2 linked regions of the Oryzias latipes genome follow. The protein of the gene in region 1 binds, or shares a complex with, the protein of each later gene. Links are inferred from orthologs where the notes say so. Each region holds a gene or a part of one and is shown in the gene's direction. Other genes may lie near its edges.

Region 1 (4,056 bases):
GGTTAGGCTCTGCCAGCCCCTGACCCCAACAGGGATTCAATGGAATCAAAAAAATGGATGGATGGATTTTCACTAACATTTCTGTTATTTCCTCTGGCAGCTGTACCTTAAAGAAGGCATCTACAAGAGCAAAGGTTTGTTCTCTCTTGAAAATGACTTGCAGGTGTTTTATTTAGAGTAGAGTCCAACTGCTTGCCAGGATTTATCTAACGGATATTTAAAAAATGTGCAGGAAGTTGAAACTCCAAATCCTTACCTTGAGTGAATCATCAGTCGAATAACTTTTTCAATGGTCCACTTCTAGACAGCATCACGAATCCAAATGTTTTGATAAAAGAATAATAACTGAAAAACATTAAAATATTAAAGAAATGTGTTTTACATACATTTTTTTTAAAAACAACAACACTGAATTTATTGAATGAGCTACGTTGTTACCCACTTACTTTCAAGAAGGAACAAATGAGGGTCTTATAATTGTTTTTTTAATTAGCTGACAAAAGATGGCAAAAGACACAAAAATCCTGGAGTGATGGCACAAAACAACTCCCTGCCTACAGAGTGGTGTCAATGAAAAAAATGACAAAGAAATACTATTTTATTCTGTTGTACTTGTATTGTCGTTCTTCTTGCAAAAGTTTTGTTGTTGTTTAACTTAAATTGTTAACATTTTGTGTGAGGTGTGTTTTTTTACTTGCATTAACAGTAAAATGATAATGATCATTTTAACAATCGCTTCATCTTGCCTCTTAAAAAAAAGCTGTTCAGTCTTTCTCTGCTATCTAACTTGATGTTGACGGAATGGTCCATTGCCACACAGGGACAGGGGAGGACAAAACACTTTCACACGAGCAGTCTTATGCCATTTCAGTAATTTGGGCTTTTTATGACAGATTTAAACTATTGAGGAAATTATTTTAGACCATGTTTGTAAATGCCCCCCACACACACATGTGCAACAAGTCCGCCCCTGTACAATACACGAACTTCCCTCTGCTGCACAGGACTGCGATGCCAGCAGTCACCGGCAGAGGGCGCACTGCAATCAGGGCCTGACATGGTGCCCGGAAGACCAAGGTGTAAACATTTTTGTGACGTTCAGCTCACGTCCACCCGTTAAGCGAAGCATCAGCTGCGCTGGGTCTGCAGGTCGTGACAGCACTGCTCCGTTTTCGTTCCACTGGTTCGTCTGGCCGCCTTGTCCCTCCGTCCTCACGGCTTTCATTCCACAAAAAGGCCGATTCCTGAGAAAAAACATGCAGAAGAGAAGGAAGCCAGAACCGATCCAGCTGAACCCGATTCCCGACGGAAACACACTGAACGGAACCGGAGCCTCCGAGTGAGTGTTGGCGATCAGCTGTTTGTCACATACGAAATGTTACATAATTATGTTTACCACAGGAATTTAGAGCTTTTGGTGTGACAATAATCTGAGACACTGTCTGCACCGACTGTGGGATTATTTATTTATTTCACAGTTAAAACTGATTAGAAAGATAGGTTCAAAAAGTACTACTAACACAAGAACCTCTATTAGAACAGTACTAAGAAGACGAGCAGTGAATCCAAAGATACAATAGCGTCAAATATTTGTAAAAATGTTTCAAATAAACAAAAATTGCAGTGTTTTTTTTTTAAATTTAGGGGATCTGCTTAGAGAATCAGAGAAATCAAATCTCTGTCACAGATTAGTGTTAATACAGCTCTCCTCACTGTGACTGATCTAATCATCACTGTGAAATAAAGTGGCTCTCCAGCTCTCTTCAGCTGATTTCTGAGGGGAGGCACTGTTTAGTGATATGCTTGTGTGGGTTGGAGGTAAAGAGAAAAAAACCAACATGATAATGGAGAAATAAACCTGTTGTGACACCTTGTTTAGTGTAAATCTGTGGAAACAATTCTTTGTCATTCCACCAATAAGCTGGATCCCATTACATAACATGGTCTTCACTATGAAGCCTGTTTGTGCAGGCAGGATGCTTTCTGGTTTCTTTATTAGATGCAGCCTCTGAAAGTGATCTGTAGCCTTTGCAAATGAGCACATGAAGGAAATCTAAATCAAGGATTGGGGATATTTTTTTTTAAACTGCTGAGAGTATGTGGTAATACTGCTGTTTAATGTAATGTGAGGATGCTAACCTGCAAACAGGTGTTGCTTTGTTCTTGTTGTTTTTTAAGCAGGTTTTTTGGGGTACATTCTGACAGTTATCTGAAACAGTCTAAAAAGCACTTTCTATATTCATATAGAAAAAAAAAGGTCCATTAAATTACACAGATTTTACTTTCCTAGCTCCATGTGAAACTCAACACTGTATGGCTCCATAACAGACTATAATGTGAGTGCTTGATGGCAGTCATCTAGTTTGGTATGTATTCTCCAGATCAATATTAACTGTAGAAAGCTCTTCTTCACATTAGCTCCTCCAATCCTGGCCCTTAGTAACATGTGATCCAAAATGTTGTTGTTCACCTTTCGGCATATCCCTTCAGAGGTCGCCTCAGTGAATCAGCTTTTACCGATTTACTGAAGGGACATGTGTTTTTGGCAGTGATTTTTACGTCGGATGTCCTGTATTTTTGCTGACTGGGGACCGGCACAGGGAAGACCCAGACTTGGGGGGGGCCCCCCTTGGGTCTTGCTCAAGGACCAACACTGGATGAAGCCTGGTTTCCCATGCGCCAGTCCTACACTCAGCTAACTGAGCCATCCAGCTGCTTGACATGTGATCCAAAATGTATTTTTTAGGTTCCGACATGAACTTTTAACAACATTGACTGACGTATGTCAAAACAGGAAATCCACTATTTTGCAAAAAAACATTTTGTGTGATGAAAAGAATGAGTCAAGTAACCATAAAGGTTAGTTATATGTATATGTCTAGCATTTCTAAGCATTGGGTAGTTTTCTATTGTCAGCATAATTTGACAAAAGTACGTTTTACTGTGTAAGCCTCATTCTCCTGCCTCCCTATGTTGTTTTGAACACACCTGTGCGTACAAATGTATCTCCTTAACCCTGTGGGTAGAAAGGGAATCAAAGATATAACAAGACAAAACAATATTTCATTAACTAATCTGAAACTCTCCTCTTGCTGCATAGAAGCCTACTCTTTTTTTTTTTAACAGATCTGAGTTCCTTCATTTAAGTTTCTTAATATTCATCATTTTTGTCATAAACTGTTTTCAAATCCACTGTTTTTGCTGACATTTGTCTGCAAGGCTCGGTGCAGAGCTGCAGAACGGGTTTCTTTCGTACCTTTATCTCCCATTAGATGTCCTTGAATATGACGCGAATGGATACAAGAAAGGCCGGCTACGTGCGCACACCCCCTGCACCTCAAGTGGTGCTGCCCCTGTGGTTGTTGCACCCACATATATTGTGTTGAGTGTGTTTCATGCTAGTTCTTTTCTCATCTCCTCCACCTCCAGCTCTTGTTGACAAAACACCCACGCCGCCCACATCTACATGTAGCTCGTTTCCATGGATATGCAGCCCTACTGACAAAAATAAAAGCACTTAAACCCTGTCTTTGCTGCATGACGGAGCATTAGAGGAGAGCTCAATGCCCAGCTTTGAGTAGTTATCAGTGAGTTGTGGTTCGACATGGACGTAAAATTCATAGCTGTGATGAAGCTGAAGGAGACCTCTACAGCAGGAGATCAGTCAATGCTCCTATGATATGTAGAAATCATACTTCAGGGCTGCGCAAAACTGCTATAGTACCGAAATGATCGGAATTCGTTTTTAATACAATGTAATTTGATTTATTTCAATTATTTTAATTCCAATTCCCATTTCAAACCCAGCTGTGTTTGGTTATGAAAAACTATTTCCACAAAACATTTCATTTAAAGTAGGTGAATATTAAAATGTCATTAATCAAACTAGACATTCTTATGGTAAAAAGTAACAGAAAAGGTTTGAAGACTGAAGGGAAAAAAAAGAAATAAGCAAAAGGGGATGAATGGATTTTGCTCTGTTAAAGGAAAGCTCTATTAATTTAATAGATTTTTTGAAACCCAAGAACATGTTACATTGCAAAACCTCTTCTCAAG
Region 2 (8,591 bases), on another chromosome or scaffold:
TGTTTCACATGTGTGGGGAAAATCCCACTGAAATGTTGCTGACGACTCAGAATAGATGTTGCTAGGTAACCTGACGTCACCATGCTGCACTAGTGTATAGGGAGTCAAGGGAGGAGGATGGCTGATTAGACACATTCAGCGAATGCATCTCAGCATTGATCTTGAAAAGGCGCTAAAATGTGAGATGAGAGCGCACCGAGCGGGGTGTTTACGGGTAGGATTGGGTTCGTGACTGATTTGTCACAGCTTCACACCCTGAAGTTCTGCATTTATCTTTCACTCCCTTTTGTGCGGCGCTGGTCTGTCATGTTTGCACACATGTTGAGAAGTAAGACTGACAGGTCAAACTGTGTAATGACACCACTGTCGTCTGCTAAAACAGCAGCTATAGCTCATTTATTTTCTGACGTTCGTTTACAGTGTCTGGAACATGACCCAGGTATTAGGATCATCTTTACCTGTCAGATTTCATGCTGAAAGTAATTACACTTTTCTGCTGTGACTTTTGAATGTTATTTGTAAGGCACATAAAGAGCAGGAAAGCAGGGCCAGGCGACGGCACAAAGAGCCTTTACCTCCATTTTCCTCGTGTCTGCTCTTTTCACGTTTCCAACGCGGAACCGAGATTCTTTTGTGAGCTGCCACCAAGCAGCCTTTTCACTCCCCAAGGCCGCATTCGCAGTGAGCAGCGCGGCTCCTGGAGTTTCTGTGTGGCTGGTGAGCGATTTGTGTCACAGAGATGCATGAATGAGCGTAGAAAGACACACACACCGCCTATTGTTCGCTCAGGGCTTGAAAGGTGCAACACCAGCCAGCTAAAGGCTCATCTCAGGGTGCTGCCGGTGTAACGGACTCTTGGAGATAGACTGCGTGATAAGGACACACTATACAGTCATACTGAGCTGCACTTTGAGGGCTGCGGTTTACCAACACCATGGTGTTCATTGTAGAACTTATTCACAGGACAGATCAACACATTTAAATTGAAAGCACGGGAGAACCATAGCTAGAGATGACGGGCCTCAGAGAGGAACATTCCTACATGATGCAGATTTGAGGTTATCTTATATTTTGAAACAGCCGCGATTGATGTCATTTTAAACGTCAGCACAAATTTCAGCAAGGCTTCAGTAATTATTGTGCCCATTTCGAATTGTAAACACAACAAGGCTGGAATGCAAAAACAGGCGTTTGAGCTTGCACTGCATTTCCTAGTAACTGTTTTAAGTTTTGTCTTCATTAAATGACATAGTTCTAAATATTTCTACATCTGCATTCATTTGTCCAATCAACTATATGTACATGAATTGTTTAAGCTACAATTACTGGGTATTTATTTGATTTGTTCCAGACCCTAAACGGCACCTAAAAATATTTATTTTTGTGACCTAATAAGCTGTTTTTTCATGATTCATAATAGGCCTGCTTAATAAATCGCAAATGTATCGTCATTGCAATATCAGTGCTCCGCAAAAGACAGCATACACTTTGATAAATGGTTACCTTAAATATTTACTGCACACATACTAAAATAATCCCATGGCAGTTTGAATTATTTAACGTATCAAATACTGTCCTTTAAGCATTTCACCAATCGGATGGGCCACTTCACCTTGTTGACCAATCAAATGAAACTCTTTTGTTAGATTCCCATCTCCTATGTAAATGTGGATCATTTGGAGTATCATTTATGTCATGCTGACATTTATTTAAATAAAACTGTTGCAGTGAAATGGAAATGTTGTGTAAGTTGTTTTGTGTTTTGTCATTTGTTCATGTATTGCAAGTTATATCGCCATTGCAATATTGTTCACTAATATCACACGTCGTAAGTTTTCCTCATTGTGCAGGAAAGAGTTCATAAGGGACCGTGGAGGACCTTGAACAGGGGGCCACATTTTTGAGTCTTTGTTAAAAATAATAGTTGAGTTTGGCAGCACATTAGCCCAAGTTTGTCACTTCTGGCTGAGCATTCATCCTCTTAGGACAATTTTCTGGAAGCCTAAAACATTTTTAAAAAAACGCTTTCTGAAACACTTAAAGTACCCAAAACCCAAATATTCACCAATTATCCCAAAAAAAGTTTCCCTTCTATTCCAATGCTCAAAACCCAAAGAGGAATTAACCAAGAGCCCCCTGGAAGACCTTTATCAGGCGGCCCCTTGGGAAGCAATTCATAATTATTTAAAAATGAACATTATTAGTAATTATCACAAATATTCCATATTCAACTTTAAAGAATTAGTCATAGAAAAGAAATAGTTTAATATTTAAACCTAGCAATTGCAGGAATACCCTAAAATACTTTATGAACCAGTAAAAGCTATTTATAAACCCACTTTGAGCTATTGTAAAATCATTCCCAGTGGTTTTTTCATGACGTCGTTTTCTAGGACATGGTTTCTGCAGAGTGGCTGGAGTTTCTTAGAAATTTGTCTCTGAGTTGTGGGTGGTACCATTAGCTGGGAGCAACCCCCCCCCCCCCTTCCCCTCCCCAGTCTAGAACAGGGAGTTGTAGCCCACTTAGTTGTATTTTCTATGTAACAAATACAATCTTTTTCAAGCAGTATTTTCTTGTCTGCTCCTGATTCACAACAATTTGAATAAAGAAATACTCAGAAATGCTATTTTGAGCACATTTCCTTAATACATGTCCTCCATAATCAGAAAAATTCCACAAGAACACATTAAAAACACTGAGACACGATTAGGTTTCCCTGTCGATGTGCGCAAAACCGTTGCATGTTGTCCCATAGTTATTCATTGATAAAATTACAGTGCTGGTCATGTGGCGCTTTGGTCATTTCTGAGAACTTTCATGCTCAGCTGTTTTTGTTTCAGTTAAATTTGTTCTGCCATCAGTTTATTTGCTATTGCTGTCTGGTCTGAGGTAGATGTAGGGAAACTTTGGTTGTGCCAGAGTACAGAGTAATTAAGAATGAATGGACTTCAGTCTTTATGTCTCATATTTTATAAGTTTGTTCACTGGATATGTTTTTTGTGTCTCTGCTGAGGCACACCGCCTCTTTCAGCTGTAGTTCCCCAGTCTCTTTTCTAGCCCATCTGTCTAATGTTCTCTGTTGCTCCCTGCAGGTGAAGCTGATGAAATACATCTGTAAACAGCTGCAGTGCAAGCACAAAGTGCCAGAGACAGACAGGCCAGAGGCCCTGGAGAGCTACCCTCACTTGCGAGACTGGCTGCGCACCATCAACCTGCGGACAGAACTCATCAAGGTAGGCCGACTTTGTCTGATTGCCAGACTATTCTAGGGAAGGACTGTAGTGTTTGTATTACAAATGGCGTGTTCTCAGAAAATGCAACCAGTGTTACCCGTTCAGTAGGAGTAGGAAGAATTTTATTTTTATTCCTGATAAGTGGCAGAAAACCTGAACTTGAGCCAAAGAGTTTTTGTCCTTTTTTAGCATGCACTGAAGTGCTCAGAGAGCCCATGGAGACTGAAAGAGCTAGACAAAACATTTGTTAATGTTTTGCAATATATAAAAGACTTTTCTTTTTTCCAAGTCCCCAAAATTAAGCTTCCAGTTCTAATTCCTACCATGTTTGCAAGTCTAGAAAGGGCTTTTCCACAGGAGTGTGAGGAATGTCCCAAAAGCAAATGTTTGCTGAAGACTTCACAGGTCCACATGAAAGCTTTCTGGGATTGTTCTGGTCTTCAGTTGAGCGGAGAGGATCCCACACCAATTTGTGAGGGTATTTAAATGATTTTAAACGTAGGATTATTACATCCTTCAGACGACAATGGGTTAAACTGCAGACCGTGCCCTGTGTAAACATAAACTTTCCAGATGACTGAGGGAATATAATTCCTGTTAGAAACTTGTTTGGTTACCTGGATTTTCATTGCCATGTCTGCTGTAGTTTTATATTTTTAGGTGGAGCAACAGTAGAGACTCACACACGACGGAAAACCTTGTATAAAGTTTTTTACTTTTTGTATCCCATCTATTTAAGGCATTTGTGTGTTATTCTTTTCCAAATTTCTCTTTCACTTTCTTTCTATTTTCTCTTATTTTGGTGTGCAGAGAAGCTCCTATTCTTCTTGTCTCATTCCTTTGCTCTATACCTGTTATTAGCAATTATTACCCCTAAACACGACTACGTCAGGAGTTTTCTTTGAGTCAGAAATTTAATGTATTTTGAAAAAATAAGTACTGGCTCTGTGGATGTGGAGCTTTTGTTGCATCCTGATGACCAACTTTGGTCATCATCTCAGATTATTACACTGAAATTTCCACACTGTAACTATTTGTTCTCCACTGCGGGGTCGGTGTTATGTTATGTACATTTCAGAGCCATTAACAGGTATGAGGAGCCTGTACTGACAGCAGCTGTCCAGAGATTGGTACACATTTTCATTTAGCTTTATGCTGGAACTGTGCACAGATAACTATAAAAGGGGTTTCTAAACGAGCTAATCTATAGGGTTAACAGGTGTGCAGTGTTGGATGACTGTTGCATTTCCGCCCAGCAACAGTGCATGACGGAGTAAGACCTCAAGAAAGCGATCATTTGTAAGTGTTCTGTCGGTTGCATCGGAGATGTTGCAAATGATGAGGTGGGAGGAGTCACAGCAGTTTTAAGTACAACATCTCCCGCTCTTGCTTAGCCTCTCTGTGCGATAAAGTCTTGCTTGTAGTTTACACACGTGTGGGAGGTTGCCCTAGTTTTGCAATCAGTGTTTCTCTACTTAGAGTAAAGGTTTAACTGAGCCATTAAATCGGCACATGCAGTAAAGAAAACCTCTTATCTCAGGTAGTGGTTATTAATCATAAATACTCCATGAAACTATGTCAGGTTTATAGGAAAGGTTGTGTTTTTCTCATGTTGGCAGGAAAGATATTTATTGGCCATTGTTTCATATCAATCTGTTTACGTTTATCACGGCTATTCCACCATGATTGTACATTACTCACATGGTTTGAGATCTGATCACTCTGGAAACAACCCATCCACCATGACATTATAACTGCATTCTAAACAGTTGACTGTATACGAGAACTGGACTGAGTCAGTGTGACATCTCCCATTACTTTCAGCTCCAACGATATGAAGTCAATTCAGTCCCCATTTAGTCTCGATATGGATGCCACCATGTTGGAACCAGACAACAGCAGTAGGCATCAGTTGGTATGAGTCAGTCTCAGTCAACATTTCTATGGCAACCAATCAGGAGTGAGCTTGTTGGAAGTCCACACCCCACACAAAATGGGCTTGGGAGAATCTGTCAATCACACGTTTTGAAGATGCAACGTAAGACCTCATACTTTCATTGACGCGCCCGATTGGCCAGTTCAGAACTTTAGTAAGTTGCACCACAGAAAAACTTTGTATTAGCAAGAACATGTTAAAAAAGATAGCAGAGCAAGAATGGCTATTCTGACTAATAGAATGACTGAGTATTAGCTATTTATGAGAAGTAAATGGAATTTTCCTTCTTGGAGCCAATTTGGTACTTCCTATTTGGAACGTGACGTTGAAGGACTCCGTCCAGTTCTCACATACAGTCAATGTTCTAGAAAGTAGTTTTAAAAAAATTATAACCTTTTAATACTTGCACTGTTATCAGAAAGGGGTAGACCTGCTAATTACGGTAGCAAGAACCACAAGGGGTTTACTTTTCACTTCAAAATTAGGAGCCAAAAATGTACCAAGAAGTCATACCCCATATAATAACACCATCGCCAGGAGAGTGATGCTTCAATCAAAGTAAACTTAATCCTTTGTGTTATGGTTATGAATGAACAAAAACTCATTATACAAGATATTTTTTTTCCCTCGTCGATTGAGAAATGTGTTGAGTCTGGCAGCACTTTTAGCCTAAGTTTGTCACTATTGGCTGATTTTTCATAATCCTTGGACAATTATCTTGAAGTTGAACAGATTTTTTTTTTTTTCCAGTTACTGAAATACTACTCGTACCTAAAACCACAGCATCCTCAAGCTATGCGTAACAGTTCCCCTTAATGACTTTTCTCTTCCATTCTGACACTTGGGACCTAAAGAGGAATTGAGCATGTCTTCAAGCCCAAATCCTTTGAACTGTTCACCTTGTGATTGACTGTTTCCATCTGTTGGTAGCTGTAGCAATGAGGTAGTGGTTTAGCTTTGATAGCAAGATGGTAGGTTTAGTTACCACTCTGATTGTAATGAAGTGTCTTAAAGCAGGGCACCGAAGGGCTATAACTGTACATGTCAATTACCAAAACATTAATAGGCGTATTTAAACAGAAGTCTATAAGTTTAAATATTTCTGGCTTTGAGCACTTTGTAAAACGTTTTCAAATCAATTGTAAGCCCAGAAGCATGTTTTCTGTTAGTAGTTTTTCATCACCTGCAAAATATGTATACTGGAAGCCAGAAACATACATCCTAATAAGGAAATCCTCCATTCATCAACATAATTCACTTTATTTCATGTTCAAATGCGGTCCATAAAAGAAGACAGATACAACATACATAGTAAAAATAAATAAATATACCAATAAAAATAGAAAAACAAAACAAAACTACAGTTTACAACCATTTAAAAAGGAGTATAACCTCTGTGCCCAGTGTGGCGGAGTTGAGCGGAATGAGCCTCTTTTAGGATCAGTCAAAAACATAATTGCATTTTTAGACTTGTCCAGGCGCTCCATGAGACTGTATGTAAGCGTACGTAGTAGTGCTTCACAGGTGGGGATGTGAGCATCCAGAAACCACTGACTGGCTCTGTACCAGGGGTTTAGCCTGTAGCAGAAGCTTAAAGGCATCGTTACAGGTCACTATGAATCTACGGATTGTCCCACCTCCATAATTCCACCACAGAGGAGCAGTATACAGAAGAGGGCAGTAAGCTCTGAATAACGAACACTTCACTTGAAGAGAACACATACTGGATTTTCTCATCAGCATATTTGCCTGAGCGTAGAGTTTGCAGTATGGTCTCTGAATGTCTCTGTCATCCCGCCAATCATCAGAAATGAAATTTCCAAGATATTTGATAAATGAGGTTTGTTCCAGAGGCTTTCCACAAAGCTTAAAAACAGGAAAGTTTACTTTTTGTCGCCTTTGTTAAATATGTTTCTTGGATTTATGTATGTTAGAGCTTGAAAAGCTGGTTGTTGTTATACTGAGCATATTTAAGGCAATATCTTTCTTTGTAAGCAACCTTTTTTCTCCTTGTTTTTTAAAAGTTGAACATAAATGAATCAATGGGTTTGTTTTATGTCATGTGTTTGTTCTTTCTTTACAAGGTCACTGAGCATCTACTTCTCTCTTGTGACTTGTTTGCAGGCAGTTGAAGCAAAGTTGTCTCTAGACGCTCTGCTTCAGATGACAGACGTTCAGATGAGAGATACGATGAGAAGACTCGGGTCCAGTTCAGAAGAATGTACGAGACTCAGGTCTGCCCTTTCATGTCTGAAGAGTGCTACGGAGTCAGGTATGGAGTACTACTGTGGGGTCATCTTGATTTTAAATGTACTGGTGTAATATAAATAAAGTTTAGCCTCAAATACAAAAGGATTTAGACAAATAAACACCTTGTGTGTCTGAAGATCCATAACCCCCTACTGTAACAGTAACTGTCCAACACATCTGTTTGCGTCACTGCTGGACAGGACAAGTTTAAAAATTGTAGTTGTGAACTCTGTCTTGATTGACTTGACTGTCATTTCACAGGAGGAGAATTGAGGGAGGATGCCACATACTGGTTATCTGAGCCCACCAGGAGGGACAGTGGCTCCCTGCTGACTGCAGACCAGCTCTCCAACCTGGGAAATCGTCCTCACAGTCCATCACCTCTTGCCCGCCCATCTACTATCCAGTCAACCCCATCCACCCCAAGTGCTACGTTTCCCCACCCCCGCTCAGGCTCAGTCCCCACACCAGAGGCGCTGGCATCATACATCCACAGTGAAAGCCCACTCACTGATCCATTCCCGCCACCTTATCCCCGTGCTGCCTGGCTCCACGGACACACCTCCACGCCCCCCGTGACTCCACCCTCAAAAAGGCGCCACCGGCTAAAGCCTCCATGCACCCCTCCACCTCCATCGCGCAAACTGCTGAATCTGCTCCCCAACATCACTTTGACGCGCAGCAAAAGCCACGAGTCCCAGTTGGGCAACCGCATCGAGGACCCTCCCACCAACAAGTAGGTCTCTGAATGAAGCCGTTAAGTAAAGCAAACGAGACACAAATAGATTAGATTGTGATTTGAAGGAAGATTGTTGGGTCAACACAAACTCTAAACACTAAGGCCACATGTAGGATCTAGATCAGGAGCCTTACGAATGTTGGCAGTGCTAACTGATAAGGGATTTGCCATTAGTCTCCGTCAGACAGCCTTTTCGCACCATCTCCGTACCCCTTTCCAAATACACTGTTCTGTGTGGCTGGGTGTGTTTGTCTGCAATCTTTTCACTGCAGTAGGAGTGGAAGATGGACGGCTTTTCATTGTAATCCGCTGGAAGTTTCTGCGCCACCGTAGTCCTTGTCCGGATTTACAGATGACGGCGTTTCATAAAACGAAAGCACAAAGACAGACCTCCATGAAAATGTTCAATTTTCATTTCCTCTGCAAGCGTTC

The links. Proteins that work in one complex are often made in the same cells at the same time.
Region 2: the proteins of map2k1 (region 1) and ksr1 are in contact, whole or in part, in a crystal structure (PDB 9AXH), measured with the Homo sapiens proteins. The link is inferred for Oryzias latipes from reciprocal best matches to the Homo sapiens genes MAP2K1 and KSR1. Residues at the interface, in NP_002746.1 of Homo sapiens: Asp217, Ala220, Asn221, Ser222, Phe223, Val224, Gly225, Thr226, Arg227, Ser228, Met230, Arg234, Leu235, Gln236, Gly237, Met308, Ala309, Ile310, Phe311, Leu314, Asp315, Val318, Asn319; in XP_011523731.1 of Homo sapiens: Asn767, Gln768, Leu769, Lys770, Leu771, Ser772, His773, Leu776, Val784, Arg785, Met787, Thr788, Pro789, Asn823, Gln824, Ala825, Ala826, Glu827, Ala828, Ser829, Ile830, Trp831, Gln832, Gly834, Ser835.

Annotation. Positions count from the first base shown.
Region 1 is NC_019864.2:16,494,862-16,498,917, reverse strand, and holds the start of map2k1 (dual specificity mitogen-activated protein kinase kinase 1), read left to right. Parts: upstream 1-1,256; coding exon 1,257-1,339; intron 1,340-4,056. UniProt on the Homo sapiens protein: Dual specificity protein kinase which acts as an essential component of the MAP kinase signal transduction pathway.
Region 2 is NC_019872.2:17,291,396-17,299,986, reverse strand, and holds part of ksr1 (kinase suppressor of Ras 1), read left to right. Parts: intron 1-3,093; coding exon 3,094-3,234; intron 3,235-7,294; coding exon 7,295-7,442; intron 7,443-7,681; coding exon 7,682-8,156; intron 8,157-8,591.